Tamandua tetradactyla: one gene and its partner. The protein of the gene in region 1 interacts with the protein of each later gene in a pairwise test. Links are inferred from orthologs where the notes say so. Each region holds a gene or a part of one and is shown on either strand. Other genes may lie near its edges.

Region 1 (3,747 bases):
CCTATTGGCCAGGACATACTGTGGGACCCAGGTGTCCATTTCAGCTGTCATAGGATTTTCTTGCATTGCTCTTTATTTCTATCATATTTCCTCTTTTAACCAAGGTATCCCTTGACCACAAATCTGGTGACAGATCCCTTTGCATCACCATTCTTCTACCAATCATTTCCCTAATTTTTGCCTACTTGCTGGTCTTAGGCCCCACATTGGTTCTCTGCACAGCAGCCAGGATGAGCATCTAAAAACCATGCCAGTGTGCCACTCAAGACCTTATGCTTCTCATCACAGGTATATAAACCCAGATCTATACCATGGCCCATGGAAACCAAAAGAGCTGGGTCCCTTCTCTCTCTTGCTCTGTCCTTCACCCTCCCCTCCACTCCAGTCACTCTGACCCCTTGCCATTTCTGGGACATGCCACACTCATGTCTGCACTCAGCAACCCCTTGTACCTGTTGTTCTCTCTGCCTGGAACATTCTCCCCAAGACTATGCAGGGCCCAAATGTATGGATACCAAGACAAATATAACATAAAACAGAAAGATAGAACTGAGATCTAGTTTATCAGTTAGATCAATAACAGAACATGAGTTTAATTTACCAATTAAAAGAAAACAGTCAGAAAAATCTACTTCTGTGAGATACATAAAGACATGCCTAAAATAAAGAGATTCATCAAGGTTACAAACAAAATGATGGCAAAAATGTATCAGGCCAGTGCAAATTAAGACCCTCAGAGAAGTCTTGCCTGAAGATCCCCACATCACTTGTTGACCCCTCTTTCCTGTTTTAGTTCTCCTACAGAATTTACCAGCAGTTTAAGAATTATTTTGCTATCCATGTCAGCTTCACAAGTAGTGGAGATTTTATCACATTCACTGCATATCCCCAGAGCCTCAAATCATGATTAGCATGTATTCTAGGCTCTCCCATTTTTTCAATACTTTTTCCAAAGGAGAAATAGCTTTTTAAAATTTTTCTATGAAATAGAGTTCACTGTGAAAAAAATATTCAGCTCACATTGCAATCATTTTTGCTGTGTCAATGTCTACAATCTTCCATATCCATTAATTATTTTTAGTTTCTATTCACTTTTTTCTTGTTGATTTAAGTATATCTTTACATATTAAGAATACTGTTCCAGTCCCTTTGTCATGTGTGGCAAATTTGCTAGTGGGTTGTTTTCTGTGTAGAATGTATCATGGTGGTGCAGAAAACTTCTATCTGGTTCTTGGTTTTGGTGTCATGTTGAAGAAGATAATTTCTAACCAGGGATAAACAAAGATAGTAACCCAAAGATAGTATTTCTTCAAATACGCGACGTGAAAAAATCAGTATTTTACTTGATTTTTAAAAAGAGTGTGTGTGCATGTGTGTTTGTGTGTATACATGGATAGTTTTAAAATTTTAATGCCAATAAACATTCAAGGTTTAGACAGTGGTTAAGTGTCAGGAATCAACCCAATTACCACTACCAGTACTACCCGGACAAATCTACATTTTTATGCCTCAGTTTCCTCATTTACAATGGAGACACAGTCAATACTCAATAACCTTCTGCTGTTTACTATTATAGGACATAAATGTTCTAATACTTTATATTTTAATTTTGCTTTTACATTTTTTTCCTTTGGTTTATATATGGAAAGTCATTCAACTTTCAACCTTAAGTTTCTTTGGGGAAACCTGGGCTTTTGTGGAAGGTATTTGCAAAAGAGTTATATCTCTTTTTAAAAAAGAACTGAAGTTCCATCTTAAAGCATCATACATAAAACAAAGTCAACGTTTATTCAGTACCTGCTTTTATACTATTATATTACTTAAGTTTGTTTCTTTCAAAGCATAGAGGAGGCATGAAATACCCCCATAAATCTAGGGCATCAGTTTCCTAACTTGGTTGCATAGTCTATTGGGCACCCTTTTTGAAATGTAGATTTCTGAGGCCCAGCCCAGAACGTGTGATAACTGGCTAGGTGGGTAAATCACTTATTGTAGTGATCTATTATGCCCATTTTGGAGATTAGATACATAAAGCCCAGAAAAGTCCTGTCTTATTCAAGAGCATATTCACATGCTCCAGAGGCAAGAGGTTCCCATGCTTTGCTTCATTCCTTTGTGAGGTTCTCACCCTCCTTCCTTGCCTGGAGAACTCCTACTCATTTTTCTGGGGCCAGCTCAAAGTGGTTTCATCTGTGAGGCCAGGCCACCCAGGGAGAACGAGGCCCCTTTAGAGCCTCCTTGCTGTGACCCTCACCCAGGGGCCAGAGGGGCTCCTTGAGTGCTCTGTGCAGCCTGGGGTATCTCCAGTTTCCCCAGAACCGGGCCAGGGAGGCGGATGCTCCTGCTGACCCGCCCATCCGGGCCCCAAAGCAGCTGTACCTTGAGGCATACAGGTATCCAGGTGCGCTGATTCTCGTCCAAGTAGACGTTTCTTTCCCAGATCCACAGGCGGTCGGGGTGCATGGCTGTGGATTCCCTGAACAAGGGGCGATCGTCCATGGCGCCTCTCGAGTTCACTAGCAGATTAGCCAGACACAGGGCCCCCACGCCTTTATAGCGAGTGGGCAAGCCGGCGCCCCCACGCGGTGGGGCCGGAGGGGGGCGGGCGCTAGGCGGAGAATGGGGTATGGAGCATAGCGAAAGGGGCGGGAAGTGGGAGGTGCAAGGCAGAGGGGGCGGGGCGAGAGGCAGGAGCAAGGCCAGATGGGGTGGGGCGAGAGGCGGGGCCCAAAGCAATATGGGGCGGGGAGAGAGGCGGGGCCAAGCAGCGCCGAGCCTGCCGGGGGAGGATCCGTAGCAGGCCCTGAGGCCAGAGCTTGACCTGTAAACCCGGACCCAGGCCGCGTCAGTCCAGGAGCCCAGACCCAGGCCCCAGCAGGTCCGGGGCCTTTTCAGGACCTCCAGCTGGTCTTTCTCGCCCCTTCTTTGCCGTCCATTGCCCGGTAGGTACTCGGGTCTGTGGCCTTGGCTACAGCGAGAGCCATCCTGGCCCTCTTTTCAGCGCGCGGACACCACTGTCAGCCAGTGCGTGTGTCTGTCCAGGCCACGCCCCAGAGCTAGCAGCTCCAGGCCTCTGTGCGGAACTCCCAGGCTGCCTTTGAGGCCAGGCGGCCTGGAGCCGGTGTCCGCTTCTTCATCTTCTGGGATCAGAGGCCACTCAAGCGGGGGCCTGCTTCAGGCCTAGGCCTTCCCAGGTTCGTGGGCTTACGTTCAGCCTATGGTTTTGGGTGTCAGAATCAATTTCCTTGGCAAAACTTCAACTCTTGAGTCCCCTCCCTTCCCCCGAACACCCACTTTCTGCGGGTTTGGGGATGCTGTGGCCATCTAATAGCCATTGTGAAACCTGCTGGTGAAGAAACATGGTTTTCCCTTTATATGCTTTGAATTCATTACAGAAAGCATAATTCAAAATGAACACTTAAAAAGAAACCATCGCTTCTCGGCCTTTTGGCTAAGATCAAGTGTAAAAGGAAACCAAAACCCTCTCTTCACTCTAAGATCAAATGGATTTTTCTGTAAATTAAAGCAAATAAGGAAAATATTTTCACTTCATTTTGTAGTAGCATGCTCATTAAGGGAATTAAGGAATTAAAGTACAATGAGACAAATGTAAGCCCAGTTCCTGTCTCATTGTTCAAACATCACCACTGGCAGCAGTTTGGTGCCTTAACTTCTAGCTCTTTCCTCTCTCTCTGATTAGGTACTAAGAAAATAATCTGTGATCTTTTGGAATGTCATGAGAGTGAA
Region 2 (3,747 bases), on another chromosome or scaffold:
ATCAAACAGTATACATTCAGCTTCCTAGTGTAGCCAACAGCCCTGGGATTAGCTTTGCTGGAACATACAGAGAGCATTAGTTTGCTGTGATAACTAAAAATAGTTTGACTAAATGCATCAATCTGTCCTGGACTCTCTCTGATGTTAAGGTCATGTGAAAAAAACAAAGCAGCTTGTCCCTCAAAACTGCATCTTTGAATTCAGGCAAACTGTAATCAGATCAGAAAAGAATTGACCTCCTGGTACTCTTTCTCAGGTAGCTGAACACTGTTTAAAAGTGGTCTCTGTGGGAATGGATTTATTTCCCCATTCTGGTGCCTAGTGTATAGATCTATTTATAGAACAGAGCCCTGGAGTCATCTGACTGATAAATGGAGGGGTTTCCCTGTTTTCTTTTTTCTTTAAAGGACAGCAGTTTTCATTGTGAAAGGAATAGGACATCGTTGGTTGGTGCTAATTATGAGATATATTTTGGAGATGGAATTTCCTGTAAAGACAATTGCCACAATAATTTTAAGTTGTAACTTGAAATATCAGACCCTGTCCACTGAAGAACACAATAGCCAACCTTAAAAGAAAATTAAAAACAAACAAACAAACAACAACAAAAAAACTTTACTGCTCTGAGGCTACTTATGTTCTACTGTGGTCCAAAACAAAGGGTGAAGAACACAAGGGGCTGTGTAGTGCAAAGCAGTTCTGGGGAGTGGGGGAGGGGATCCTGCTGTTGCGTGTAGCCCACTGCTGTTTTTCAACCAGGAAATGAGTTTTGCTTTTAATAAAACTGATACCCAAGCTTGTGATAGCTAGAATAAATCAGCAGTGCTGGGTGATGTATGAACATATACAAAGAAAACAAACAGACATCTGTACCAACTTAAGATAAGGACAGCTAAACCTAGGGGACGACCTAACACCCTACTAGAACAACTTTCAATTCAGTCTTAAATGACAGCCACCTAGAATTCAATATTTTAAGAAACGGGTCCTCACATTTTTTATGGAGTTTGAGCTGATTTATCTGGGAGGGAGGGGGTTGACAGGCCTTTCTGATAGCTGATGTGCAGCAGATTCACTTAAAAGGGAACAAAATGCTGACTTTGGTCACTAACTCACTTGAGCTAGGCATCCAACCTTCTCTTCAGGAACCCCGCCGCTGCCCCTTATCCTGAGCTAACCACACCTTCCCTTTCTCCAACTGGAGAAGAGAAATAGGCACTTTTTTTCATATCAAAGTCAGTCCAAAGCCTTATCCCAGCCTCAGACTCCAAAAGCTTTTGATCCTGATTTTAAATTGCGAGGCTTTTTGCAGCGACACTTTATCAAGTCAGCAACGTAAGGGCTTGAAGAGCCTCGGCGAGCCAGGCGGTGGCGGCGAAATCACCTTGGGAAGAGATGAGGGTCAAAGGGAGGAAAAGGGGCTGACCCAGGCCGAAAGACCAGAGGTCGTGCCCAGCTCTGGAATCAGTGCAGAAGAGAAAAAGAGGAATGGAGAACCCCTACCAGAGGGGAGTTGTGCTCCAGGACCTCTAGGCAACCCTGGTTAGTGATCAGCTGGCCCGGGTGCGGAGAGGAGGGCGGTCTTGGCAGCACCTCCCCAAGCTTAGCCTTCCAGGCTTGCTTTCTCCCTCCTGTCCCCTGCGCTGGTTCTCTGCCCTGGCGAGCTCGGCCGGCTCCAAGGAGCTCCTAGCGCCCCCTCCTGCCGAGTGCCCCCGCCCGCGGAGAGCACGCCCAGGAGGGCGGGCCCAGAGCTGAGCGCAGCCGCCAACCGCTGGAGAGCGCTGGGAGCTCTGAAAGTGAGCAAGGCCTCTCTGGGCACCGGGGGCTGCAAGTCACCCCTCGAGTCTCCCGGGCCACAAAGCGGAACCTTCCTCGCTCCCCTGCGCTCGGGAGAAGGGAGGCCTGGGCGCGCGGCGTGGCGCTTCAGGCCTTTGCGGGCCCTGGGAAGTTCCCGGCGCTTCCCGTACAGGGCAGGGCTGGGCCGCGGGATGGGGCCTCGCAGCACCTTCCCCAGGGCGCGGTCTCCTCCTCCTCCTCCTCCTCGCCAGCGGCGCCGCCAGTTCCCTTTGTTTGCCCCGCCCGCCTGGGGACGTCCCGGCGCTGCTCCCTGGGCCTCCCAAGCGCTCATACCTTCTGCTGCCGGCGAGCCATGTCGGTGGGCTGCTTGGCGTTGAAGGGATAGGCGATGCAGCGCATCACGAACACATAGAGCTGCAGCCTCTTCTTTCTCTCTTCCTCCTCCTTCTGCAGCCGCTCCAACTCCTCCTTCTCCTTCTCGCTCACCACCGACGGGCTGGGGCTGGAGGGCCGGCCGCTGCCGGCGCGGCTACTGGGCTGCAGCCCCCCGGCCCCAACGCCGCTGCCCGCGCCGCTGGCCCCGCCGCCGCCGCCGGTGCCCAGTCCGGCCCCGGCACCGCCGCCGCCCCCTAGCCCGGCGCTGCTGCCCGAGCCCTCGCTTGTGCGGCTGGGAGACAGGCGCGCGCTGGACGCGGCCGAGCCGAGCACTTCCTTGCCGCTCTCCTCCTCCACGATCTCATCCGATTCCTCTTCGCTGGACGAAGGGTCCAGCATAGTGGTGGCTGGGGAGGGGGGGTCCCTGGAGCCCCCGGTTTAAGGTGCAAAAGGTGGGGGGCGCTGGAGGCGGCTAGGGGTCGGCTTTCCCGAGTGGGCGCTTCCCCCCAAATCAGGAAGCGAGCGCGCTGCTGCTCAGCCTCGGCCGCCGCGACTGCCTGCTCCGCCCGGCGATCCGGAGCTGGGCTCAGACCCAGGAGCGCGAGGGGAGGAGGGAAAGGGAGAGGTGTGTCCGTGGACCCGAGGTGGGCAATGGGAAAGATCAATTGCAAGCCCCGAGTCCGCAGGCGGATGCCATCTGCAGCCGCTGAAGAAGGCGCCTCCAGAAAAGATGCGGAGTGTTGCAAGCTGTCGATGCAGCCAAGAGCCGAAGAGGCATCTTGCCGATTGGGGAGGGAGCGGCGCTTACGTGTTTATTGGCTTAACTCTCCCGTGTCCGCGGCGCAAAGGGCGGCTGCAGAGAGTTGGGGGGGGTGGGGGTGGGAAGAGCGCGCCGAGCGTGTCCCGAAGCTTCAGAGCCTCAGTGCTGACTTCCACGCCTCCCCATTCCCCAAACCTCCACCCCTTTGTGGATAATGTCCTCCATGATTCCAATCTCTCATTGCCTCGACCCCTCTCCCTCTCCCCCTCCCCCTCCCGCGAACCAAAAGTTCTTAGGGGAGCGAGAAGAAATAAAGAAACGAGTGATGACTTCTTGTCAGCAAAGAGCGCAGTCAGTTTGGAGACGCTAAACCGAGGAAGAGGAAATCGCTGATATCCATAGGGGAAAGAAAGGACTCATCTCCTATCCCCAGAAGTCTTCGCACCTGGGGCGTGGCGGGGGCGGGGGATTGTGTGGAGAGGGCAATGTATTTGTTCCACCTATGAAAAATCAGATTCCAGCTATTTACTCTACTTACGCCCACTCTCATTAAACAAGTGAATCAAATTTTGAGCGAATTAGTGGATCGCCTATGAAGTTCAGTTACTTAAGTAGAATCCCCTCTTGCCCTCCCCCTCAAAAACTGTGATAAACATTCTTCAATTCCAGGAACTGAGATTATTTTCTGCTGAGGTAAGCCTACCACCGAAAAAGTGTTTTTAGTTGCAGAGCCTTTCCTCGGTTCTGATTAGCTGGACCGTCTGAGTGGTGGAGCGAGGACCCCGGAAATCATAGAAACCCCCGAGCATCAAATG

Evidence for each region. The genes of interacting proteins can lie anywhere in the genome.
Region 2: the proteins of TCL1A (region 1) and CADPS interact in a two-hybrid assay, tested with the Homo sapiens proteins (3 studies listed by BioGRID and IntAct). The two-hybrid records come from large-scale screens. The link is inferred for Tamandua tetradactyla from reciprocal best matches to the Homo sapiens genes TCL1A and CADPS.

What each region holds. Positions count from the first base shown.
Region 1 is NC_135338.1:56,901,865-56,905,611, forward strand, and holds the start of TCL1A (T-cell leukemia/lymphoma protein 1A), read right to left. Parts: upstream 2,555-3,747; 5' UTR 2,500-2,554; coding exon 2,380-2,499; intron 1-2,379. UniProt on the Homo sapiens protein: Enhances the phosphorylation and activation of AKT1, AKT2 and AKT3. Promotes nuclear translocation of AKT1. Enhances cell proliferation, stabilizes mitochondrial membrane potential and promotes cell survival.
Region 2 is NC_135341.1:21,822,214-21,825,960, reverse strand, and holds the start of CADPS (calcium-dependent secretion activator 1), read right to left. Parts: upstream 2,939-3,747; 5' UTR 2,572-2,938; coding exon 2,131-2,571; intron 1-2,130.